Linked DNA regions of Mus musculus: all the other regions are reported to be linked to region 3. Evidence: microRNA targets listed by miRTarBase, many of them from high-throughput screens and not tested one by one. Region 3 holds a microRNA gene; each other region holds the end of a gene's coding sequence.

Evidence for each region. Region 3 holds the annotated microRNA mmu-miR-3572-3p (UACACUUGUCCUUCUUUCCCCAG, at 1,369-1,391, opposite strand). A microRNA usually pairs through its seed, bases 2 to 8, with sites in the 3' UTR of a target mRNA and lowers its output. Matches are read on the target gene's strand: a 7mer-m8 pairs with bases 2 to 8, a 7mer-A1 pairs with bases 2 to 7 and ends in A, and an 8mer does both.
Region 1: the mRNA of Mapk8 is a reported target of mmu-miR-3572-3p. Seed matches in the 3' UTR shown: 7mer-m8 at 5,155-5,161 and 7mer-m8 at 4,016-4,022.
Region 2: miRTarBase lists Hs6st2 as a target of mmu-miR-3572-3p. Seed matches in the 3' UTR shown: 7mer-A1 at 2,634-2,640 and 7mer-A1 at 231-237.
Region 4: miRTarBase lists Sgms1 as a target of mmu-miR-3572-3p. Seed matches in the 3' UTR shown: 7mer-m8 at 4,343-4,349.

Annotation. Positions count from the first base shown.
Region 1 is chr14:33,376,862-33,385,169 of GRCm38, forward strand. Mapk8 (mitogen-activated protein kinase 8) reads right to left here. Exons shown (of 12, transcript NM_001310454.1): 11 at 7,013-7,090; 12 at 1,037-5,458. The coding sequence ends at 5,313. Among named protein-coding and RNA genes, the nearest start is that of Mapk8, 66 kb to the right of the region's middle.
Region 2 is chrX:51,386,707-51,394,645 of GRCm38, forward strand. It overlaps Hs6st2 (heparan sulfate 6-O-sulfotransferase 2), which reads right to left. Exons shown (of 5, transcript NM_001077202.2): 5 at 1-3,655. The coding sequence ends at 2,764. Among named protein-coding and RNA genes, the nearest start is that of Mbnl3, 180 kb to the left of the region's middle.
Region 3 is chr7:3,654,401-3,657,400 of GRCm38, reverse strand. It overlaps Mir3572 (microRNA 3572), which reads right to left and starts at 1,439; the gene lies at 1,354-1,439. It overlaps Cnot3 (CCR4-NOT transcription complex, subunit 3), which reads right to left. Exons shown (of 18, transcript NM_146176.3): 11 at 1,449-1,830; 12 at 1,245-1,368; 13 at 416-614.
Region 4 is chr19:32,119,011-32,127,318 of GRCm38, reverse strand. Sgms1 (sphingomyelin synthase 1) reads left to right here. Exons shown (of 10, transcript NM_144792.5): 9 at 1,927-2,093; 10 at 2,795-4,592. The coding sequence ends at 2,974. Among named protein-coding and RNA genes, the nearest start is that of Asah2, 20 kb to the right of the region's middle.

The DNA of each region.
Region 1 (8,308 bases), not on the chromosome of region 3:
TCCTCCGCAGTCTTGGTTCTCCTCCCCCTCCCCCACCCCCTTCCCTTCTTGATTCCTTGCATTCTACTTTCTAGCAGAGTCTCAACAGTATGCTTTCTTTAACTGATGAAATAAAACTTGTGTTGGAAACCTAACATTTTCAAAGCATATTTGAAAGTTAACTTATTTTCTAGTAGGATCAACCCCTGGTATATAAGCTTAAATAGCTTTAAAAAAAATTAACCTAAAATCAATACAAGTAAATCACCCTCATTTAGGTTTGACAGATTTTGAGAAAACAACAACAACAACAACAACAACAACAAAAACTTTAAAAAAATGCAACACCTGTATTAGCCACACAAGGAACTCCACTTTATGACTGAGTGGGAACCTTGATCACTCAATTCAACATCAGGTTGAGGTTAACCTTCTGGTTCAAGCTCTGCTACTCTATCTCGCTACCTATGACAGTAGCAGGACAGCAGGCACCAGCTCAGCAATCTCATGGCTTGCCAAGGCAGCAGGGACATGGCTTCAGTGTTAGTGTATGCAGAGGCAGGGGAGGATGGCATGGGTACAAAGGCTGTGTGGACAGAAGCCAGGCAAGATGGAAGAACGCCATCCCATGGGCTGGGTTAGCACTTAGAGGGACCCTGCACACCTTCATGCAGCTCACCCATTAGCAGTGATGAGAACCTGTGGACAGAGCAGATACAACTGGCTCCATGTTCAAACCTGCTTCTTTTTTTTGACAGATTCGGGTCTGATACTGATTTTTGCCAATTGGCCATGATGGCTGCTGTCTCATGCAGTTACTAGGTCAAAGGGCACTGAAGCAAAGTTTCTTTCTTAAAGTTCCTCTAGTGATTTGAAACATAAGAACAGTAAGCCTAGATCAAGCCATACACCAGCAGTTAAAACCGGGATGACAATGTGTATAAAATCCAAACCTAAGACACCTGCCCTACTAACAACCTTACCTCAGTCCACAGGAAACCCTAAAACCACCAGGAAAAAACACAATTTTGTTTTGCTTTCAATGAAGAACTCTTACTTTCATACCACTTTTTCTTTTTTATTTAAAATATTATAACCAATTGACACACTAGATAACACTGTTTACACCCAGTGGTGCATGTTGAATGACTAGGGCATGAACGATAACCCACGGTAACGATCCCAGCATTCCCTACAAAGTGCCCATTTGTTTTGTCTAGAGGAGAAGAGAGGAGAGCACACGGAAGGGGCGGGATGAAGGAATGACATGTACAGGGAAAGAGGAAAAAATCTAATTATCATCCTATGTTTTGAGGTTTAAAACCTTATTAACAGGGTAAACCGTAATGAGAAAACAGACATCACAGTCCAGGCAGACAGCTACTTCAGTGTAACTTCATCATTCCGCTATAAGATTAACAGCTTCTCAAAAATATACCAAATATTGGGCCTACAAAAGTAATGTATTTCTTCGTAAAATTTACTAAGATTTTCTCCTTCTGTAAAATGTAAAGCATGGACTGGTATCTCGAGCAGGTTTCTTACAAAAACAGTGAGGATGTCAATAAGCGTATGCAGCACAATTCCCCAGACACAGTGGAAGACTACACGGGACTGTCTCTTACTGACGCAAGGTTTGCACTTCACATGCTTACTGGTATTTTGTGAACAGTGGCTAGAAAGTATTCAACGCACATTTATAATTTACACTCAGTAAAGGTCAAACAGTAAGGGCTACAGCTTACTTGGGAAAGCATAGAAAATCAGTGTGAGGTAGTTCAATAAAAACCTAGTTTAATTTTAAGTCATTGTGAGAATAGGACATTGTGCAAAACTAATCCACAGGTAATATTTCTCAGGAGTTTCAGTAATGAAGAGAATCTAAACCAGAAGTGCCCAGAAAGTTGCTTACTAGACTCCCCTTAAAAGCAATTTGCCTAAGAGCAGTTACTTTGAAATTAATTAGGACACAATTTTCCTATCTTACCCCAAACCACACATTTCTGCTTCAATGCCCTTATCTCTTTCATCTTTCTTTCGTGCGATTAGGACAAATGTGCCTCCTGTGGTTCACAGGAAACACCCAAGAGATCAGTAGAAACACAATGCACACTAGAATATGCACACTAGAATGCAACAAGCCACGAGGCAATGCTGAAGAGGGCTACGGGTGAGAGACGGTGCTGGGTATTCTACTCACTGGTAAGACTTACTGGGGTCATGGGGCATCATGCATCCACTCTACACTAATGAGTGACTAATGAACAACACTCACAAACTACAACAGTATTTCTGAAAATATACTATGTTGTTGGTTTTTTTTTTCAATCTCAAAATGCCGTGCAGGCTAGCGCTGAGGCAACACTGATGATGTCTTCATGTGTGCGGCAGAAACTGGCCAATAATGTAAACCAAGTTCTTTTTGTAACTCAGGAAACAGCTTCCCTTGCCTACTGCTCATCCTATCCTGTCAAGTGTCTTTTCTACCTCCACGTCTTAGGGTAACAAAGTGAGATGAGCTCAGAACTGAGGGATAAGGCTGACAGGCAAGCTTTGTACACAACCAGCTTCTCTGTATTGGTGGGGACTACTGCTTCTCTTACTAGCCAGGTGTGAACACACTGGGCCTTTGCTTCTGGTGTGCACTCTTCTGAGATTTGGCAATCAGCAGCATGGCATGACACAGTAAAAACCACTAGCAAATAGCATTAAAGAGTGAGATGCTCTATAACAAAGCAATCCCAACAACATGCTCATCTTACAGATGGTCACTATGTATTAGTGGGTACGAGACCTGTAACCAGGAAGACATGTAGGAAGAATAAGGCTCTCTTTCCTAAACCATGAAGTGGAATGCTAATTCTCAGCTAAACAACTTTTAGACAGTAAGACAATGGGTATCATAAGTATATATAATTGAAAAGTCAAATTATAGGGTGGCTTAATAAGTACTGATAGACAGAAATGTTATTTGTAATTTCTTAAAAAAATACTTAAGATGCTTTAAGACTCTAAAAGTACCAGTAGGATTTATGTTAAAAGATTTAAACACAGTGGTGTGTTTTGTGTGTGTGTGTGTGTGTGTACAGTGGATCTTAATGTGTTGGGCACATGTTTAACAAACAGACCTTGCTTTTAGGTATACTCTGTTAGGTATTTCAGCTTACATTAAGCATTGAGAGCTTGTTGTTTTTTTTTTTTTTAAATTTAACTGAAACATGATTGCTGGCAAGTGGGAGCTGGCAATTACAACAGATGAGACAATCAAACAACTAGTATTCCTTACTTACCCGAAATCTGAATGAAGAAGATGGCTTCTCAGCAATCAAACACAAACACAGAAAACTAACTACAGCATATCAGCTGGTAAGTGCAATAGTGACACATTTTATCACGGCAAAACCAAAACCAGTTAGATGCAAAACTAATATAAAATAAGAACACACTCATGCTCCAATTTCTGCTAAAATCCTGACTTCAACCTTGTATTTCTAGAACCAAGAGGCGTAACAGTCTCAAATTCATACTTGTCTAATAAAATAAATGCACCATGTTGTACATATAGAAAAGGAATCACTAAAAGATGGGACGCTAGAAATCTTGATAAACTTGCTATGTTTAAAAAGGTAATATCTTAATCTTAAGTATTGCACATTAACAAGACTTAAAATAGCTTACTTGAAAGTAATTGTACACTAAATGTTTTTAAAAAGCAACCAAAAGAAGAAAAATCCAAAAACCAAAACAAAAGAACCTGCTAAGCAACCTTTCAGAAATCTGCCAAGCTGTGCCCGCTCTTACTCCTGCTGATTGTGAGCTCCAAGGGGCTCCGGGCTCCTTCCTACAACCTTGCAGCTCATGAAGTATGCATTTCCCAGTTCATTACATGAAATCCCTCTTGTTCCAGATAATACCAAAGGTGCCTGGGCATTATAGACATCATTTCAGAAATAATGAGACCTTGATGACATTTTACTTAGGAAAATTCAGTTACAGAGAAAGGATTCTGCAGATATAAAATGTAAACAGTTAACACACACTTGTCAGGAGCAGCACCATTCTTACACTACTCAACGTCCATACTGGAAATCAGATATAAAAAACCAAAGACTCAGATGAAAGAACCACCACTATGCCTGCTCTGCTCACTGTGAAGAAACAGTCCTTAGAAAATGACATCCTACATATGGCTGTGTGCTACTATTTTCAGATGAACGGCATATTGCTCATTTAAATGTCACCTACACAAGTTTAAGTAGGCTTTGGAACCTCCTGACAGCTAGTAGAAACAGGATAATGCTACAGGTAGAATCAAATGGCCAGAAACACCACAAACTGGTGCTCAACAGACTGACCCGCTAAGGAACAGGAACTGGGAAAGGCCAGAGGCCAGAAGCTGTCCAACAGGGAAAGTCCAGGCTCGTGGCCAATGCCAGGACCTACAGCCTGAGGAGATTAACTCAGTGTCTACAGAAGCAGGCTCGTAGCCAGGACAGGGGAAGCATCTGTTGATCTCCACGGAAATGTAGATTCATGAAGTGTCCTCTTAACTTTGTGTGATCAAAAGCTTTAAGCATGCCACAGATGATCAGAATATACCACATTCCTTAGTTTAAGTTTTTCTTGGGTTGGTGTAGGAGATTCAAAATGGAGAAGGATGTGCCCAGCATCTTTAAAGACATGCTCTGAGTTATTCTGCCATTAGATAAGGTGTTTGCTAAAATTTAGGTAAGGTTGCCTACCAATTGTTTTAACTAAGTTGGGATTGGCAAGTAGCAAATATTGGAGGTTTCTTGATGCGTTCATCATTTACAGTAGTTATTCCTGAATATAACTGGCTACAGGTTATTTTCCCTTATTCCTCTGGGGTTATTTCATTGATAAGCACATAACCCTGAAGGATAGCATCATGAACAAACATCTGAAATAAATTCTAATAAAAAACTTATAAACATCTTAAATAATTCATGATATATGCAAGTCACCACATAATAGTTGCTTTGATAAACAAAAATTTTACAAATTCAGTAAAAAAATCAGCAGCATAAGATAAAGCAAATATGCAAAATTTAAACCATGATAAAATAATTAGGTTTACATTATACAGTTAATTACAGCAAAAATACAATACAGTTTTGTTGCTGTTTAAAAACACAACTTAAGTTTTAAATTACAACACTTGAAATTAAAAAAAATAAACTACTTTACTACAAAATGAATTCTACATTTTCTGAAAAATCACTCAAAAATATGACCACTGAATTGTTTTTAAAGCAGTTCTATCAATGACTAACCAATTCCCCATCCCTCCCACCCACCCAAGGCCCAAGTAGTCATCTACAGCAGCCCAGAGGTCCAGCTGATGCTTCTAGACTGCTGTCTGTATCCGAGGCCAAAGTCGGATCTGTGGACATTGAAGACATGTCATTGACAGACGGCGAAGACGATGGATGCTGAGAGCCATTGATCATTGCTGCACCTGTGCTATGAGAAACAAAACAGCAAACCAGTTGCAGAGAGAGTTGCAGACCGGGCTGCCTGGCCTGTGCTACCTACCTTCAGGGTCTATAGACTTCTCCTGGGCTTACGGGTTGCTGAATCGTATTGAACCCAGCACTAATGTTCTCTTATGCACACAAACTACGAAGGGAGAATTGTGAAAATGTCTAGAAACCTATACTTGTTTTCCTTTCCATAATGCATTTTTAGTTTAAGACAAGAAGTTAAAATCCAAGTAACATGGAGAATGGCCCTACAGCAAGATCCATAAATGGGCCTCAGGGTGTGTTCCAAAAGAGTTGAGAGTACATACAAAACTGCTTACACTTCATTTTGTTGGAGAGAAGATCTCTAAGATCCAAGTAACTAAAAACAGCCTGAGAACTAAAATAGTATAGAAAATTACTTTTGATAGTCTCACAAAAACCACAGTGTTCAAGTGATACTCCTGGGTCCATCTTACAAAGTAGAAGCCAACACAAAAGAACAGCATCTTAAAAAAAAAAAAAAAAAAAAAAAGCCGGGCAGTGGTGGCACACACCTTTAGTCCCAGCACTTGGGAGGCAGAGGCAGGTGGAGTTCGAGGTCAGCCTGGTCTACAAAGTGAGTTCCAAGACAGCCAGGGCTACACAGAGAAACCCTGTTTCGAAAAACCAAAAAAAAAAAGACCAGCATCTGATCAGGAGGGACCTGAACCAAGTGGCCAGTCTACAAGAGAGTGTGTCACTTACCAGGTAACCAAAACAGCCTAGTAGGTAAACTCAGGCATACTTTGACCCAGGTAAATACCAGGCAAAAACAAATACAAACTTACTAAACAGAGAGAAAATGCTTTTCTCTGTGAAAAAGCAGTATCGAACAAGCATTTCATGCATTTAAAAAATGAAAAAGCTCAAAAACCAGGAAAACCTATGGAGAGACAGAAATCCTTTTAAGGGGGAAGCCTCATTCAGAGGGAAGAACATGTTAAAGCATCTCAACAAGATGGAGCAACTTTCAAGCCATAAGCTCACTAAATAGAAGTACAAGAACTTAAGTTCTCAAAAATACATATACAGAACAAAAACAGTGTGTAGTGCTCAGGGCCCCAAGATGCTAAAGCCGAGCAGGCAGGACTCTGCTGACGCACTTGTCCCCCTTCTGTACAGTGATGAGCAGAACACTGAGAGACAAGAGGTCCTCAGAAGCTTGTATTCAAGTGTGACTAACGTACTAAAAAGAACGTCAGAACGTGATGGCACACATAGCAAATTTAGCAAATTTTGTGGTGAAGTTTTTATCTATTCCAACTGAAGACTTTTCAAAGCAAAGAATAAGGAACTCTAAGGGATTTTTTCTTATTTAAAGACATGGCTGTGGTGTCAATGAAAACTGGCTTTAAATCAGCAAATGCATCAAGACAATAGTGTGTCATGGCTTTCAAATTTAACTACCAAACTGAGTGAGCATGGGAAGAACTGCAGATTCCAGGCCTCTGAAGATTATAACACAAGATGCAAGGCACAATCACAACCAGGTTTATATTGTAACCAACCTAAAGGAGACGGCTGCCCTCTTATGACTCCATTCTTAGTTCGTTCCTCCAAATCCATTACCTCCTTGTATATCAGTTCTGAAAAAGAAGAGGAAAAGTGACTCTCAGGCATGAGTCCTTAAGTCAAAGCTTCTATCTGTTAGGTGCATCAAGCTGGGTTCTTGCAATGATAGCAATGGCAGAGGATCTGAGTGTCAGCTTCAGACTCATAGGTGTTAGCAATTAATTCACTGATCTTCGACCACAGATAGATGTTGATAGAAAGCTAAGCTCTCTGCTCTAATTGTCCCAGCTGGTTAAAGGGCAGCTGTTGTCAGAAACCAGCCCCTGCCTTGAGTGTATCAGCCACACAGCACTCTGCCTTACAGACCCTTGTCTAATTCTGTCAAAGTGAGACCTGAGGTCAATACCTTCCTTCTACTTCCTGGGTTCTGTCCTAATGCAACAAGGCTGTAATTAGAAAGATTTATAACCAAAGCAGCATTTACAATTAGAATGGGACAGAAGGGTATTTTTACTGAAGGAAAAGAAGCAGCAGCTTCAGATCCTTCCAAGTAGCCTACAGCAGGTGTCAGCATCAACACCCCTTCCTAGGACTCATGGATCCCAGCAGACCATTGCACGACAGATTTGCCTGCGGAAAGACACAATGCTCTTGCTTGTGATTCTGACTTGTTTGGTATCATTATCTATCACTTTTGAGTCATATACTCTTTGAAAAATTACATAAAAGTAATTCTGTGAAAAAATATAAAGAACTTCTCAAACATCTGTGTAATTCCTGAAGTTCAAGGTATTTCTGTTTTGTTTTGTTTATATAGTATCCTTTGCTGGAGACCAGGCATGGATGGCACATACCTGTAATCCTAGTACTTGGGAGACTGAGGCAGGAAGATCACAAGTTTGATGCTAGTCTGGGATACACACATACTTCTATTTCAATATTCTTACAACTTTAAAAGCATTATCAAAAAGCTGAATACTAAGAACCAACCAACTACCTAACCAATAGATAGAAAATTTATTTTTCATCCGAACAGGAAATTATCAAAAAAATACAAATGGATAATAAATGTATGAAAAAAAATATCAACATTCCACATGTCATCAGGGACACACAAAAATAGTACCAAGATTCTATCCAACATCAATGGAAATGGCTACCATCTATCAAGAAAGCCAAAAGTAACAAACGCTGGTAAAGATGTGGGGGGAAAAAAAAGGAAGCTTCATACATATTAGAGTAAAAATGTAAATTATAATAGTCACTATAGAAATTACTGGTTCCTCAAAAAA
Region 2 (7,939 bases), not on the chromosome of region 3:
AGATCCCATTACAGATGGCTGTGAGCTGGGGTTCATTCCCATGTGGTTGCTGGGAATTGAACTCAGGACCTCCAGAAGAGCAGTCAGTGCTCTTAACTGCTCCAGACCCCAAGGCCAAAATATTAATGCTTACCTTTAACCTTTTTCTTGTGGATAAAAGGAGGTAAGTAATTAAGAGTGCTATTTTTTTCCCTTTGTGCATTCTATGATATATGAAAGCATCTACTATATACACTTTAAATGAGAACGTGGGTTCACTTCATTTGCACGGCAAACCTTATTTCAGGAACAATTTTGTTTTATTCAAATCATGGCCTCCAAGGAAAAAGCATCCCAAATTAAGGCCATTTCAGCATGAGTATTAAAATGGGCCATCTCATTTTCATACTTAGCTGTCAAGTGTAAAGAAAAACACTGTCTTTGAAACGATTCCTGTTCTGGTTTGTTTATGGTATCACAATGTCTACTGGCTATAAACCTTGAAATCATGAGATTACTCACAGCCTGCAATTGAAACTTTATTTCACATCTATTGATAAATTACACAAAATCAGTGAACAGTTTGTAAAGCTACACCACTGAACAGATGTTTACAGTTTGAAATCGTGGGATTTACATGATGATGACAAAAATGTATATTTATAACATTCTCTATATACAATAATCAGTAGAGACAGAGAAAATGCACTTAATCTCTGCAAACCATGCACACCACAGCAATAACACTTTTTTTTTTCTGTAATGAGCTTTTCCACTGGCTCAGACTTCGTCCTGCTTTCCAACACTGTCAGTTTTAAGAACAATCATTTTCAATTAAAACTAAAATTACTGAAATACCATAGTGATCTACAGAAGTTTTCAAGAACACAATGTACACCAAATACTTTGACTTCAAGATGTGCTTTTAAAAATTCCTTCCAGTTTTTTTTTGTTTGTTTTTGTTTTTTCTTCATTTTTTTGTTTTTGTTTTTTGATTTTTTTTTAGGTATCATCATTCTCAACACTGCAAATACCACAAAACAAAAGCTGCAAATATTGTCACAGAGCTCAGAGTCAAGAAAATCTCTTTAGAGCCAGATACTCAACTTCTTGCCAAACTTGTGGCCATATTATTACAGATGAAACCAGGTCATGCACTTGGGCAGACTATGACAGATGTGACTTTATGATCATATTTCTAAGCATGTCCCTCTTGAAAGCATGAATACCACTTCTGGTCACCTTGTTTTGATTGAAAGCCAAGGGATTAATGTAAGCTCTTATAGAAGTGTAGCAACAACCATGAGGTGTAAACTGCCAAGCAGTATGATATTTCACAACACAGTGTGTATATAATTCTTCCTTTGTTCCATTTGTAATTGAAACCATCAAAATACTCTTCACAGATGCAGACTATCAAACTATTCTCCTCTACTTGCACGTCCCTGACACTTAGCTTCGCTGCAAAACATTCTTTATTTTTGATCTTTCACAAACAAAATCCTGGTAGAAGTGTTCCCCTCAATTATCAAGAGGCAGCTTTTGGTGTTATTGAGCAACTCTGGCTATCTTAATGATTAGTCTACTGTTGTCTTTGAGAAAATTTTTTGCTCTTATTATTGTGTACAAATCTGTCAATACAAGAAAAGAACCATGGGCCAGAAATAGCCAGCCAAACTGGAAACATTACAATAAACAAGATAATTAACAGTTCACATTCAGGTTTAGTTCAATCTGATGAAGAATAATAACTTCAGCAATATTAAGAGACAAATTATTCTGTTTGAGAGTTCTTCTTAAGGACCTTACTACACAGACATTGATAAGACAATTCTATAGAAAGTCCTGACTTTAGTCCAGGATTAAATAGCACAAGAGATTTAGCAACACGTTGTTTAGATGAAGAAGAAAAATTCTATACATGGATTCATTTGGAATGAGCACAACTCGGAGAAGCCTTAAAGTGAATGAGAAGCAGCGCCAAAAAGATCGAAATTGTTGGAATTACAGTGCCCAGAAACCATCTGGAAACTGGATCTTTCCATTGGTATTCCATTTGGAAAAAATGCTTTGTTAATATGAGATATACCCTGTTTAAAACCTTTTAATCAGCAGAAGGTAGAAAAATTCTAAATTTTAAACATCTGTTAAGTTACAAGACACGAATCCCGATCTATTTGAAAAGCCATTATTTTTACATAAACCCAGCTACATTTAAGTGAGAAATTGTTTATTTTCTACAGTTTGGCAAAATTTATCATCAGTTGTTTTTCTGTTTAAATAGGCTCCTTGTTAAAACAAGGAAATGAACAGTTTTGAGTGTCTTTTAGTTCTGTTCATGTTTTTACTTATACTTCCCTGCAGGGAGGGGGGGTGCTTTCAAGACTGAGTTTTAACAGAGTATCCGGAATCACTTAAAGTCTGTTTCTTAGCCATAAGTTTAAACGGCCACATTTCATGTTTTCTTTGTGTCTCCCATACCTAATTTAAGAACGTCTTAAAATATCTAAGCTGCAATTTCTGGTGAGTCTGGTTTGGCTCTTGGATTTCAGAAGTAGTTCATCCCAAAACAGACAATTTAATTACACACTGAGATTTGTTGTACCCACACACAGCATAACACTGAATCAAAAGGCAACTGTAAAGGCAACGTCTACACTTTTTTTTTTTGAACTTCCCAAATGAAGGAAGCAGGATGTGTTTGGACATTTTCATCTTGTAAGATACACGCCATCTTTTTGGTGATGCTTTGGGAAGCAGTGTGCACAAGCCTTTGAGTGCCAGTTAGCGCCATGTCTCTACGCTCCCTATGTAGTCATTGGTGCCATTGCTGGTGCCGCTATCACCTTGTCCCTGGCCTGAGCCCTGCTTCTGACTTCCCCGGTTCTCCCTCTGGGTCGAATTGGGATTTGAACTCGGAGTCAGATTGTGACTCAGGTTCTGAGTCAGGTTCTGATTTGGGTTAGGATTTGGATTCTGACTCAGATTCTGACCTGGACTCTGGCTCTGGCTCTGACCCTGACTCTGACTCTGGAAATGGGTCTGAAGGAACCTTCCCTTCAGAAATTTGCGTTGCTCCTGACGCTTCCGCCTGGCATCCTGATGTTCTTTCTGCCTCATGAACTGATACCTTTGCAGAAAGAGGTCTTTAGCATAGCTGTACAACTCCATATCCAGAAAATTCAGTCCCTCAATACGCTTTTGGATTTCCTCATTGATCTCAACACTAGAGGCCCTAGTGGTATTATACTGGGTAAACGGCGAGATAAAGTTCATGTTGAAGGTCTTCTCAAACAGGTACTGGGTCTTGCGCTGAAACTCAGTGAGGCCAAAGAACGCCATGTGCTTCAGATTGGATTTGGCACTTTCCAGAAGGACTTTGTTTCTTTGCTTTTCAGGCATGACAGAGAGGTTGTAGCATCCCACTAGAGTCAGGTCAGATAGCATGCGAACTTGGCGGTTGTTGGCCAGATTATAGGGACAGTCCATGAACTCTTTGAGAGGGCATCCAGACCAGTCATCACCGGTGTAGCAGCTGGGCAGCTCTTCAGAGGTTGGGGGCCTTCCATCACAGACGTGCAGGGATGCTTTCCAAGTTGCTCCTCTCTGGACATGCCTCCATTCACTCAAGTACCGTGACACTGGGTCTCTCAGGATGGTAATGTAATGGAAGTTCCTATGGATAAAGCATAAAGGACAATAGTCAGAAGTGCGCCTGACATAAGTGCAGTCAGGAAGGTGTATGGCATAGGTGATGTTCATGGTCACTAAGGAAAACAACAGAGGAATGACAGGTGGTGGCATCTGTTCTGTGAACTATGTTGTGGTGCCCTCTTTCTATCCAGCGAGTCTGACCAGATATCTAATTTCCTGACACCGTATCCACACCAGGCATGAAAAAGACTCTGGATAACAACCTTGTCATGTTTTGCCCTACTTTGTTCTCTTCCCAGTGATGTTATTGGTCCAGTATGCAACCCAATTTTATTTTATACTCTAAAACCCTAAATTTTTATTAAACCAATCACAAAATGGAGACTCAATTGAAGCAAATGACTTATGAGGGTGAAATGGAGTTGATAAAGGAGCTAAAATTCCAATGTTTCTTATGAACAATGTACAAACATTTCTCCAATAACATGGTCTAATCTGGTAATGTTAAGAAAAAAAAAGAAAGAAAAATCACATTAAAACTATTGACATGATACTCTCTATTCTAGTTATCGCCAGAATATCATGGCTCGTACGTTGGAAAAATGGGAGAGACAGGCAGAGCATCCCAGGGCCCCTAGAAATAAATACAGTGGTTAGTCAAGGATGAAAATAGGCATGCAGCTGCCAATGGCATATATGCAAGCATCTATTTTCCTTTCAGTCTTTGTTTACACCGTACCATCCCCAGGCTCCAAATTATCCCTTTTCTTCATTCACTGAAGAATAAGAATGGTGGAATCTTTGCTGGATGGTTGTATTTCTTTTCGAGTTACAAATAGATAAAGTTCTCTCCATAAACAGCAGTCTAGTAGATACTTGAACTTACTGGCTGACACACTCAAACACATACATAGCATACCTATACTTGTGGCCCACACCCCAGATGCATCAAGGTCTATGTGGTTGGGCATGATCAAAGAGAGAAATTCTCCCACAACTGTGCTTCTTGTGAGACAGGAATTACCATTCTCATGTAGATGAAGGATGAGGTCATTGCAGGAGTATATTTGTGGTAGGAAAGCAACAATAAATACTGAGAATTCATAGTTCTTAAAGGAAACTCAGAGAATGTCTGGCAACTTTTCTGATTTTGTCCTTTTTATCTGAAGGAATTGTGGCTGTCATTTGAGAAGGACCCAGAGAGGACCTTCTCAACTACCTGGCCTATCGAACAAGGCAAGGTTTCTCCTAACTCAGACTCATGGCCTTCTGGCATGTCTCTGTCATGTGATACCAGTAGTGCTTCATCTACCTGTTCTTTGAGAAGGACACAGAGAGGACTAGATGATATTCCTTTCAAGTCTAGTTCAAGTAGAAAGCCAAGGCTACTGGCATTCCTTCTTGCCCCGTGTTGCCATAGCACTTATATACTTAGACTTTTCATACGGAATTACAGTGTCTTATTTGTATTTCTACTTAAAGGGTTTTCTAGAATGCAAATTCTGCCTTGTGTTTCTATAACCGTGCCACACATTCCAACATTGCACTTTAGCCGATGCGTCTGATTCAAAAAGAATCTTTGCAGTCCTTTAAATGCTTATTTAAGGAACCATTTCAAATATGAGGGAGGACAGGGCTGGGGACATGCCTCATCCCAGAAAAACGGTTGATCATATTACAAATGCCTTATAAATATCACAGGAAGGTATTCTTTGTTTTTAAAAACCACTTTATACATTTTCATGGAATCAACAATCATCAAGCACAGAATCTGGGAGTAGGAACGAAGGATAGGCCAAAAGTATCTTCATTTATCTCTCTGAACCTATTCTACAACGTAACTGATGTTATCTCTGAAATGCCACCGACGCCACTAAGATGTATCTCTGAAAATACCCATTATTGTAGAGTAGCAGTTTCTGTTTCTCAGCATCCTTTAGGAATTCAGATAAGCACTATATCCATGGACTCTCTCCTCCCACTCTTACTTTTACTTTTCATTCATTCTTGTGTTCATTCAGAGGGTATTTATGGAGCCTTTATGCAAATCACAAGGCAAGATTTTAGTGGCAATTACCCTGATTGTTAGGGGGAAAAAGAAATTTATTTAATCCAGTGACACATTTGGATTAACCTTTTAACCAGTTTTGGCAGTCATACACTGTAATGGGGGCTTCTGGGCAGGGGTTAGGTAGGGGGTAGTTAACCCTCACAATGCAGTCCCCTTCATGACTAGTTGACAGCCCTCCCACCCTCGTCGTTCTGCTGGTTTAAATCTATGTTGACATCTTTTGGCAAATTTTAGAGTGCACTACGGGGCAAGTTTGTGGCTCTCCCTCCTCCAAGCTTATCCTTTCAGATCAGGTAGAGGACCACCAGGAGGAGTGTCTGGGTCATTATTTTAATAGCACTAACCACAAAGGAAAAGAGTTAAAAGGCAACAAAGAGGGACTGAGACAGTACTTTAAAAGTCCCTCAGATCACACACTTGTGGGAATTTCATAAGCTTCTGCATCAAATGTCTCCAGTATAAAATGAGGACATGGACAGAGAGAAGTCTTAATTTCCATACTGTAATATTACTGCTGACACACACACACACACACACACACACACACACACACACACACACACACACACACAGAGAGAGAGAGAGAGAGAGAGAGAGAGAGAGAGAGAGAGAGAGAGAGAGAGAGAGAGAGAGATCCAGGTACCTAATACTGGAGATTATGTTAAGATTATGTTAATAGCCCAGTCCTCAGGGGAAACCTTCTCAATGACCTAAGGGCTCAATTGGGAGCACCTAATGCAGCTGAGAATGTGCGGATGGAGTGTTCATTGGTCTTCGAAGTCACCTTGTGTGACAGAGGTTAGAAACCATGTAAACACACTCCATCAGGGTCCACGATGAAGGCTCAGCTGGTAAAGTGCTTGGTGTGCAAACATGAGGACCTGAGCTCAGATCTCCAGAATCCACATAAAAATCCAGGTGTAGCAGGATGTGCCTGTAATTCCACAACTGTAGAGGCAGAGGTGTGTGGAACTATTCACTGGACAGCCAGATGAGACCAGTCAGTGATATCCAGATTTACTGAGAGACCCTGTCTCAAAAGTCATAGACATTGACTTCTTGGCACTCATACACACATGTGCTTGAGTATCCACACGAACAAACATAAATTAATAATACCTTGGAGGTTTTGCCAGACTAAGGATGTAGGATGTTTAGTATTCTGACAAAAGAACTTGAAAGGAAATAGCCAATAAGTGATTTGGAGGAAGCCAATAAATCCAGACACATGGATAGATATTCCAGCAGTGTGTACTTGCTCCCTCTTGGTCCCTACTATGCTCGGCTGTGGAGAAAGAACCAAGGGAAGCAGAGAGAACCATGGAGGAGTCTGGGGAACCTAGGACAACATACAGGCTAGCAAATGGAAGCAAGAACAGAATGTGAGGATAGCACCCTGATGGCATCTTTAGGTTTGCCTAAAGGAAGAATGAGACAAAGGAAGAAGAGACAGAAGGGAAAGAACAATGAATGGCACAGAAGTGTAAAGCAGCCTGCTTCGTGGAAAAATAGTGGGCAGCAGAGGAGTCTGGCAGGAACTGGAGAGGGATTGGCGGTCAGGTTGAGACAGGATGTAGGTGCCATGGTATGGGATTCATACGCATCTGTCACAGAGACAAAAATCAATGGAGAGGGAGAGGGAGAGGGAGCTTACATGAAAGGTGCTTCTTAGGTTTCTGGAGGATAACTTTGAGGGTGGGAAGTAGACTTACACATTCAGACAAGCAACCTAGAATTAGGCATCTGACGGCAGCTTTATGGACCCAACGCTTCTCTTTATGCTCTGTGGTTGTTCCCTATTCTCTGTATTACTTTAAGGTCCTTACCACCCTGTTGTTTGCCTCTGATTAGATTCCAATTTATTTGAACATGGCCTCTGGGCATGATCTAACAAATGTCAAGAAAGCAACTTCCCTCATTGTGACAGCATTTCTGTTCTTGTGTCCTCAGATCAAATTGCAGTTAGCCTTTTGGAGGCCATGACAAACCACTGATAGAGCAAAAAGAATTTTTCTATTTTTCACATACGCACCACTTATGTCTGTCTGTCTGTATGTATGTATTTTTATTTGTTTGTTTACCTCTGTGTATCTGTACATGAATGCATGTACCTATGCCAGGTGCATGCCCATGGCACCTGTGTGGAATTCAGAGGACAGTTTTCAGGCGGAGGATACTTGGACCATGTGGGTCCTAGGGATCAAACTCATGCCATTAGACTTGGCAGTAAGTGCC
Region 3 (3,000 bases):
GCCGACCATCCCTTGGGCATTCAGTCTCCTTGGGAACATCAGTGGGTTGGGCCTGCAGCCCCCCCCCCCCCCCCCAGCTTTCCCTGGTGAGGCAGCTCAGGGCTGGCTCTTCTACCCACTCTGTACAACTCTTCCATCACTGAAGCCCACCCACAGACCTGCACTCCAACTCTCTTGGAGGGACTCATTCTTCACCAGTCACAGCCAATGAGGCTCAGTCCTTCATGCTACTCTTCCCCCACCCTTCCAGGAGTCTCTCCACAAGGTGTCACTTTGCTTCTCCTCCTGTCAAAATCATGCTAACGCCGTTATCACCCACTCAGGAGAACTTCTAAGATGTTTCCCCTCTAGGAAAGTGCACTCATTGAATTTCCTGTCGCAGGATAGGCTCAGGGCTCACACCCGAGAAACTCACCTTGATTTCTGGGGTGGTGCTGAACTGTGGAGGACCATTAAGCAGGGTACCAGCTGCCTTGGCTTCACTGAAGCTGGGCGTTGGAGAACTGGGGGGATTTACAGGCAGTGGCACCAAGAGGCTGGGTCCCCCCGAGTTATTCCCTGAGCCTGAAGCCACATTCCCAGCCCCTGATGGGGCTGCCGTACTGGATTCCTTTCTGGGTAAAGAATGGAGGAGAATCAAATTAAGATCCTTGAAGACAGGCACAGAATATGGGATCCAAAAAGGGGGGTGGGGGCTGAAAGCAAGACAGCTGGAGCATGCAGAAGTGAATCCAACCTCTGGACTCCTCTTCAGTACAGCAGAGGTACTGAGGTGTGCAACCAGGATTTTAGGGTCCCCCCAACAGCTTATGAAGTTAAAGGACAGGGGACAGGGTAGTTCTAGAATTGTCACTGAAACAGTTTTGGAGTAAATGATTGCACAGATGCACATGGTGCAATCCCAGTAGGACTGGTAACGAGGCTGACAAGGCAGCAGATCTTTCATTAGTAATCTGATGTCAAGCTGAAGAAATGGAGGACTAGGATATTTTACTTGGAAAAGGGAAAAGCCCCCACACTCATGGGAGTCAGCTGCCTCAGAGCAAAGAACAGAAATGGGAAGACAGTGTAGTGTGAAACCGAGAGTAAAACATGTCCCACTTGGTAAGAAGCAGGGAAAAGAACACTTGCTGAGGTGAAGAAAGGACACACTGGGTAGGTACTACCCAGGAAGGGTAGAACTTGGAACCCTAAAACAAGTGGCATAAGAGCTTGTGCCCACACACTGCCACCCCACTACTCACGAGGTGCTGGGAGCTGGGTTGTGAGGGCCCGAAGTGGGCCCAAGGGCTTGGCTGCTGGCACTGCTGCCCCCACTGCTACTCAGGGTCACCTCTGCAGGGCTGTCTGCCACAACCGAACTATAGCCTGGGGAAAGAAGGACAAGTGTAAACAGGCTGTCAGCTACTGTCCACCTTGCCCTGTTCCCCAAACTGGTCTCCACTTACTTGTGGCACCGTTCTGCTTGCCAGCCCCTCCGCCTGTGCCACTGTTACTATTGCTGCTGCTCCCTCCGCTGCCACCACCACTTCCCCCGCTTGGCTGGGCACTGGGGGGCCGTGGCTGGGCATTGCTGGGCCCGCTGGCATTAGGTGGGGCCACAGCCTGGGCATAGGGTGCAGGAGTACCCGAGTTGTGGCTGGGAGCTGGACTGGCCTTAGGGCCCAGGGCACTTGTAGGTGCTGCTGGGGTAGAGGCCCCATTGTTGCCAGGGGTGGAGCTCAAGGCAGAAGTGGTAGGTGGGGGGCCAGAGGGGTAGGTGGGCGGCACAGCTGGGGACTGGGGGTGCTGGTTGCTGTGGACAGGCTTGGAGCCATTTTTGGCTGGAGACTGCAGGAAGAAAGAAAGAAAAAACAAAGGGTCAGGTACTAGACCAGCCTGTCCCCTATCCACCACCCTCTTCTTGTCCTCCTGCCTTGCCTCTGACCTGCTATTAACTGTCCACATTCTCTGAGGCACCTAGGAGACTTCAATCACCTTCAGGTTTAAGACCTATTTACTTCCAGCCCACCCAGCTGTCCCAAGTCCTCCCCGGACATTGTCCCTATAGCCCACATGAATCTGACAGGGTTTAGGTTAAGACAAGAGACCAAGGGAAACTCTCAAATACCCTGAACTTGAGACCTAAAGTGGTGACACATGCCTTTGATCCTAGCACTTGAGAGGCAGAGACAGGCAGCCCTCTATGAGTCTGAGATTAGCCTTGTCTATTTGGAGAGCTCAGGCCAGCATAGGCTACACAGCGAGATGCTCTTGTAAAAGAAACAAACAACACAAACAAAAACAAAAATCCCAACCTCAATTTGCAATTAGTTGGATCAGCCTAAATGTTTAAGCGTAAGGGAACTAGGACAATCAATTCCTTCCGAATGTCAGCTAATCATGAAACTGTAAAAATGCAGTGCTCCAGGGCATCCCTACTTAAACTACGCTCCAACAACCAGGCTGCCATGCCAAACTGCCTCCTAGCCTTCTGACCACCACACAAAAATCACAAAGAAAACTGGCCATTCACATTTTTCCTGGGACTTCTGCTTGACAGTCAAGGGGCCTGATAAGGTGGCAGAACTAAGCCCACCCCCATGATTCCTTGCCCCACCTCCTCACTCCATTACTCTGGCTGCTCCTAAACCCTGGTCCCCAAATTAGCTTCATTAGTGTGCACTTAGGTCCTCCCACTGGAGACTGTCCTTTCTATTAGCCTAAAGGAATTCTGGGCTTCTTCAACAACATTCTTGTCTCCTAAGATATGTTCTTATTGTAGGAGAAATTGACAGAGCTGAGTTTATTCATTAGGATCTAAAGGAATTCAGAAGTGCCGCATACTGCCTTCCTCTCTCAGGAAGTGCTTCCTGCAGTCAGTGCAGCACAGGCAGTCTGACTTTCTGATCACTTCTCAGGCTATTTGGGTCCTCAAGAGACCAAAGAGTCCTCAGTCCAACAGCCCACCTCTCATACTTCCTAACTTCTTGCCACAGTTCCCTGTGTGACCTGCCCACA
Region 4 (8,308 bases), not on the chromosome of region 3:
AGTCACAAAACCCTGATTTGGGATCCTGGAACTATCGGCCCCTCCCCGAATTCTGACTGTGGGGAAAATGTTTAATCTCTATATGTCTTTGTTTCCTCATCTTTAAAATGAGTCTTTATTTCATGAGTGAGGAAGAGGCTATAAAAAGTAAAATAAGTGGTGTGCATGGATACGCAGTGAGGTTCACAGAAAATGTGTAGTAGCTGTTCTTGGTGTATTGTTAAGGTATGAATATGAGTGGCCAGTTTCTGCCCCCAGCACCCAATTTAAAATTGCAAAAACAACCAAAGGGGCGGGGGGACCTCTTTCCTCCTCTTCCTTCTGATCCCCTCAGCTTTTAACAACTTTCACCTTTATATAATATGCAACTCTGTAGTTATAGTGTCTTACTCTTTGTCTGTCTCGCCTTCTGGCAAGGGTTCCCCCCACAGAGGCACGCCTTTGCTTACTTCCTTTGTTGATTCAGACATCTTGAGTAGGACCTGTCCAGGGAAAGGTAGATGCGCCCAGCCCGAGTGAATGAATGGCAGTTGGATCTCTTGAGAATCCAGTAAAAGTTGGCAATACCTTCTTCTCCAAAATCAGGGCAGTAGATCCATTCAGAGCTTTGTCTGAAACCCCACGCGCTCTAGACCCCTACGCATTGAGAATGTGGAGTACAAATCTCACCGTCTTTCGGATGAGTGTGTAGTTATGGAACCTGGGAAGCAGGCTGGTAGCTGTAGGGATTATAACTGCATGGTCCCTGCCTAAGCATTTGTGGCACAAACATGAGCTAAACAAGGACGACCAAGGAACATGCCAAACTAGATGGGGAAAAGACCATGAGGTTCCAACTCTGCACAAAGAACTACAGACAACTGAGTAAAGATGGAAACATAAGAGGCATCCCTCTCCAGGGAAGAGCACAGCAAACAGATTGTCCAGCATCAAACCATTGGCCATACAAGAAGTTGTATATAGACTCAGCAGGCTATAATTAGGAGTGTATAGTTATATGCAGACACATGAATGCATCCAATAACAATCAGTGAGAAAAGAGGCCGTAATTCTGAAACAGAGTGGGAAGAGATGTATAAGAGGGAGGGTTTGGAGGGAGCAAAGAGAAGGGAGAAACTAAATTATAGTCTCAAAAACATACATTTAGAAAAGGAATATGTGGCACAGTAGGAGTTAGATTTACATAAGACACTAACCTCAGTGTATCCATAGGTTGCACTTAATTAATGGCCATTGGACAGAGCCTAGGGCCAGAGCTCAGGGCGTAAAGTGCCTGAGGTACCAAGCTAAGACTGTGTGTTTAGCTCCTTAGCACCCACAGAAATACCAGGTAGACATGGCAGCATCCTTGTAGTTCCAGAGCTGGTGTGGAGGTGACAGGGGTCCCGGCAGCAAGCTGAGTAGTTAGACTAGCAGACTCGGTGAGTGAGCTGCGGTTTCACGTCGAGACCTTCCTCAGTACATAACATAGCGTGATCGAGAGAGCAGCTCAGTCACCAAGCTCTGGCTCCTACATGTGAGGCATACACACAGCTGCACACATCAGTGTCTATGCTCATGCAGACATGCATACACACACCGCAGTGTCAGGGGACCATCTTTTAAAGATGGAGCTCAACGCAGTGACCTGTGCATATTTGGTCATAGTCACCTTTTATGTTACGTTTTTGCTTATATGAAATAAGTTATGGCCCTAGATAAATTACTGCTGCTAGTCATATTTCATTAAAAGCCACTTCCTTCTATCCCAAGTTATAGAGAAACAAAAAGTCCTTTAGTTTGCTGGCCCACAAAAATGGGCTTTCTGGAGGAAAGGTGTAAGATAGTCGGTCCTCCAGAATGGCGGAGGCGTGGGTGAGTGGTATTGGTGGTATTGGGTGAGTGGTATTTAGGACCGGGACTATTGCACATGTTTCCTCCTTCTAGATTCTCCTCGGCGGCTCTGGTGGTACCACTGGATTTGCTGGCTCCTCAGCGTCGTTGGAATCTTCTGTATTCTCTTAGCGCATGACCACTACACTGTGGACGTGGTGGTGGCCTACTACATCACCACAAGACTCTTCTGGTGGTATCACACGATGGCCAATCAGCAAGTGAGTCGCCCCTTCCCTGTCATCTTAACTTCTCCTGTCTCAGTCTTGGTGCTGCTGGCTGAGGCCGGAGTAAGAGGTGTTGGAAAGACGGGGAAGCTGTGAGTCTTTTTCAGTTTCTCTTTCTTCGGAACAACCACCTGAGGTGGTGCTGGCTTTTATAGCACCATTCCTCTGCGGAGCCAGTGTGTAAAGTGCTGATGTAATTGACACAGATACCACTTTCTTCTGAAACGTATGTGCTTACTATCTGTGAAAAAAATAATCTCCAAGATGGTATCCGCACTTACGGTGCATTCCTAACCTTTGGTTGTGATGGGCCCATCACTAGTTTCATAGTTACGTTTAACTAAGGTATTAAATATATTTTATCTATTATATTTATATATGTTATATTATTATAACATTTATAAATATACATTTATTATATAGGAGCACAGGAAGTTAAGATCCAAGGAGAGTGAAGAAAGGGCTGACTGAGATATTTAGTAGGTACAAATTGAGGGCGTCTCAGTTTCCCTTGCTCTCCTGGAATCTGACGTGTCCAGGGTATAGTGTGGTGAACTCAGAGTGAAGCCCGGCTGTGTGGGTGGGTGTGGAGCAAGTCTGGGATCCTTTGAATTTTAACATGGGAAATATTTTAAAGGGAAGACAGTAAGATTGAAAAACAAACAAACAAATGTGTATGTTCTTTGCTTTCCTAGGTGCTTAAGGAAGCCTCCCAGATGAACCTCCTGGCCAGGGTGTGGTGGTACAGGCCATTTCAGTACTTTGAAAAGAATGTCCAAGGAATTGTACCTCGATCTTACCATTGGCCCTTCCCCTGGCCGGTAGTCCACCTTAGTAGGCAAGTTAAATATAGCCGGCTGGTAAACGACACATAACAGCTCTGCCGACTAGGGAATGAAGAACAGTCCGAAGTGCTAAGAACTCCATGACAGAAGATGCCATAAAGTAACCACCTCCCCCTGCTATCTCTCAAGTTACCTTGACTTAACCTATTGCGTTACCTGCTCAGCACTGTGATCTTTTTTTTTCTCTCCAAAGGACCCGCGTTGGACAACAATAAAGAAAAGTTCCCACATCATGCACTGTAGACATTTCCTGTTGTTAAGCTTGGGGCTTCTATAACAGGCAGCCACCGTGTCCCTCTGTGTCATTCAGCCGCACCACCGTGTGCTTCTGTATCCTAAGCTCCGGCCTTTCCAGCCATATCTGGAAATAAAGTGTGTTATTTTCTTGGGAAAACATACTTTTCATATCTCTTGCCCCAAAGACAGGGCTGTAAGCCATTTTCTAGTAAATGTCTCTATGAAGGGTCCTAAGTGTCTGCATGGGAGTTGATTTAGAATCTCTCTGCCTATTGCACTGATGCTCGGCTGAAGACGATAGGTCCAGAGAGGTTTGCTCGCCTGGGGTTTTATACAGTCAGCAGAGACGGTGTATCAAAAAGTGCAAAAAAAAAAATCTGTTATAAAGTGATTTTTCTAAGTATTTCCTAACTTTATTTTTCAAAATGATGTTATGAAAACCAAATTTAAAGATTTTTACATGTCACAGAAAAGAGAGTTAACATTTAAAAGTGCTTCTTGGGAGAGAAATTTGTCTATGTTTCTAGTGCCTTTCTTGTCTTGATTGTATGGTCGGTTGGTAGGCAATCTTAAATGTTTTTATTTATTCCATGAAAATATAAATGTATGTATACACTACTAAATTTTACATTTATAGCTAAATTAAATCAGAAGACTGCTAGTGGTTTTAAAATTGTTTTGAACTGAAGAATAGAGGGTGTGAATTAGAGTACGCACCCATTCACATATTGTGAGCAGGCCGCACTGCCAGGTGCCGCTGAGATTATGCCATCTGTTTGGTAGTTTGGTTTTAACTACTCAATAAAAACAGCCATGAATATCTTTTTTTAAAGAGAGTTTCGAAAATGATCACTTACCTAAAACTTGAAAGCTATAAACTAGTTATCCATACTCTCATGACAGTTTTGTTGGTGAACAACAACAAAAAGATCTATTTCTTTAAAATATATTTGTGCAGAAACTGCATGTAATTCTGAGTTTTCCTCCTGACATACATATGTTTGGGGAAGTATTCTACTCTATACTTGCCAACGTGGAGAACAAAATAGTTTTCTAAGAGCGAAGAAGTATATATATATAAATATAAATATAATATCCATTCTGTATTTTATGTGCAGCAGGATTACCTTCTGTAGGTTTTTTTGTGTGTGTGCACATGCACAAGTGTGTGTGCGTGTTCATGTATGAGTGAGTGTGTGTGTGTGTGTGTGTGTGTGTGTGTGTGTACTCACAAGGTGATATTTGTATTGTAAAACAATAATGGTGAAGGAAATAAAAAGGCTTTTAAATTTTTGTTTGTTTTAAATCTTTGTAAAGTTATTATTCCAGAGAGTATACTGATATCTTACAACTTACCTAAATCATAAATTAATCAAAATGCACTTTTTAATAAAAACTTATACTGAAAGTATGTGGCTATTATATTGTGTTCATCTTCACATAAGTCAGGAAGCTGTTAAATCAATGTAGGAAACCAAGCCCCGGATCTCTTTAGAGCTTGCTTGGCCCAAGTCTTTATTAATCATCTACCTCTCCATGCAGGACTTTTACAATGTATTTTAATTATCAAAACACCCCTGCATGTTTTTGTTTTCCAGTATGTAAAAGGAGCCACAGATAAGTGAAAACCAAGCTGTTACCACTGAATTCTGCCAATAACTGAATTCTCCAGTTCTCAACCAAATCGCTCACTTTTTCTCTGTAATGGAAACAGTGTAGCCTTTCCAATGGAGGGCTGGGGAGGGTCTGAAAGGACCTGAAGTGCGCCATGTGGACAGTTCATGGCTCAGCAAACTCTTCACAGATAAAGATGGTACTAATCCTCGATTTAAAGCAAGGAAGGGCTTAAGAGAAGTGGCTTCTTGTCTGTCAAAGGGTAGCCCCGGAGAGGCAGGAGTGGAGCCAGTAGCGCCTGACAGCGGGGAGTTCGGAGACTGTGCCTCCCAGGCCTATGTGATGAAGTCTTCCAGCAAACCTATCAAAATGCCCCACCTGGCCCATCCTCACCTCCCTGGGGTTGGTGTTAGCCAGATGCTATGTACTGAAAAGGAAGCAGGATGGATATCGATATGAATTACCAACACATGTTAGAAACGGGCTCTTACCCCACCCTCAGGGTTTTTGTTGTGGTAAAGGAGTGGTTCTTAATGCTGCAACGCTTTAATGCAGTTCCTCATGCTGTGGTGACCCCCCACCAGAAAATTATTTTGTTGCTGCTTCATAATTGTAATTTTGCGACTGATAGGAATCGTAAATATCTGACACACAGGATGTCCCTGCACAGGTTGAGAACTGCTCTGGTTGAAGCCTGAGCCAGGCCCTTGGAAATAATACACCAGTAGCTGTTCCCTGCCCTACCCACCACCATTTCTAAGACGAGGGTTTCATGTAACCCAGGTTGGTCTTGAACTCCTAATCCATCTTCCCCGCAATTTCCAAGCACTGGTGTCACAGGTACACACCACTCCTTCCTTCCCTGGCCTCTCTTGTAATTTTTGTTTTGTTATAGGGCCTGAAGTTGCCCATGCTGACCTTGTACTAACTGTATCTCATGGAGGCTTCAAGCATGTAAGACACTTTTGCTCCAGCCTCCAAAATAACAGAAAGGAGTATGCCTGCCATTATGCCTGCTGAAACTTAAAATGATTATGTTAAAAATGCATACTTAGGAGTTTATTTGCCTTGTATGTGCCAGGAAATTACCTTGTGTGGTTTATACAAGTATATACTGTTTATTGAGCAGTACACCCCTGTTTCCTCTATTAAGGCCGTTTGTTCCCCTAGACAGTTGTTTCATTTTTATACACATATATGATTCTATGTGACTACAAAATCTAGGAACACAAATGAGAGAGAGCGCGTGCTATTTCTCATCTTCAAACAGGCTTAATTTGCATCTACCTGCTGCAAATCCCAAGGAACACAAAGAGCAATGTTGTATCCTGAAGGCAACAGTACAGGATAAAGACAGGATAACCACCTGCAGTTTCTGCCCTGTTTGATGAGCTGAATCCCTAGAAAACTGCTACAGTTATTTTACTTGTGAGTTAAGCATGCTACATGTGTTATCTTGGTAACCCTCATCTAACCACAACTGTCCCCATTTTATGAGTAAACCAGCCAGTGACTAAGACCAGAGGCACATAGGTAGTAAGAGGAGTCCCAGGCAGTGCTGTAAGGTATACTGAATGTGGGAGCAACCTCTGCAGTGGGAGAAACCTCTGCCTATGGGAGTCAGAGTAAGTTCAGGACTGTTAAAATGGCCTGTGTCACAGGAGGCGCAAGGGAATTTCACCAGTTTGCTACAAATCATGTGTTTTATTTGTGTCTGAAGCACATACCAGGCTTGATCAGTTTGATGTTTCACAAGCTGGCTTAGAACCACATAAAACAAGAATTTATGCTACTGAAAGTTGACACCCACCCCCATTATACAGAAAGTCAACAAGGTTTTGAATTCACTCCAGATTTGTATGCTATGCAAATCACTTAAGAACCTTTATCTTTCCCTGTGGTCAGGGACCTTACTTAAAGAAAGTAGAACTCTTGGCATTCTGCTTATTGTCAGCTCTTTCAGAGTACAGGTTAGAAGGAACTTATGTGACCCTTGTCATCAAATAAATTTGATCTCAGTAAACCAGCTAATGCCTCCTTTAAAAATATATATTTTGTCAGCATAATAATGTGTACTTGTAGTCCCAGATATCTGCTCTTGAGGTTGAGGCAGGAGGATTATTTCAAATCTCAGAATGCCTTGGTAGCATCACTGAGAGTTGTTTCACTTAGTCAACGGTCACAACCACTCAAGAGCATTACCAGTATCCCCTTAAGCAAGCAGTTATCTTTTAGCTCAATTAAGAATTAAGAAGTAGGGCTGGAGAGATGGTTCAGCGGTGAAGAACACTGACTGCTCTTCCAAAGGTCCTGAGTTCAAATCCCAGCAACCACATCTTGGCTCACAACCATTCATAATGAGATCTGATGCCCTCTTCTGGGTTGTCTGAAGACAGCTACAGTGTACTTACATAACATAAATTAAGTAATCTTTAAAAAGAAAAAAAAGAAAGAAAAAAAGAATTAAGAAGTAGAAAATTAAGAATCCAAAGACTGTGTTCATCTTTATGTACTGGTGTGCTTTATGAAGATACAAGGTTTTTGTTTCATGTTTTGTTTGGTTGGTTTGGACTTTGGTTTTTTTTGAGACAGGGTTTCTCTGTGTAGCCCTTGCTGTCCTGGAACTGGAGACCAGACTGGACTTTGAACTCAAGAGATCCACCTACCTCTGCCTTCTGAGTGCTGGGATTAAAGGTGTGCAGCCATGCCTGGCTAGTTTCTGCACTCCATTTTCACTTAGCTTGCAGATCAGGGTAGCTGGTGGTGAACTCCTTTAGCTTTGGCTTCGAATGCTCTATTTCCCTTTTACCTTCAAAGGGTACCTTGCTGATATTGAATCCTAAGTTGCACGGTGTTGATCTTTTATAGCCCGCATTTTGTTTACATGGCTTCTCAAAAGAGGTCTGCTGTCATTCTTGTTTCTCTATAGTTGAGTCTTTCTGCTTGCTTCCTTAAAAATTGTCTTTGCTGTCTGCAGTTTGAATAGGACGTACCTAGGTGATATTTTGAACCTGGAGCTCAGTAAGGTTTTAGAATATTCTCTCTCTCTTTTTTTTTCCTTTTGCATTTCACATAAATATCAAGCTTACTTAGTCTTCAGCAGTGTCTGTCCCATTAATCAGCACATCACAGACACTCTTTGTGTTACAACCCTCATGATTTCCTGTGGCCCTTTCTGCTTATAGGACTCCCCTCTTCCTTGCCTGACTTTGTCCAGTTGTGTCCTCCATAGACTTAAAGTTCTCTAGATATTCCTATGTGTGTTTCTTGAATCTCTTTCTTTAAAAAAAAAATTCTTTTATTTTATGTATATGAATATTTTGCCTGAACAAATGTATGCGTACCACATGAGTGCCTAATGTCCTTAGAGGTGAGCAGAGGGCATCAGATCTCCTGTAACTAGAATTGTGGATGCTTGTCAGCCAACATGTGAGTGCCAGGAACTGCACCCAGGACCTCTGTAAGATCATCAAGTACTCTTAACAATAGAACTGTCTCTCTAGCCCTTGACTC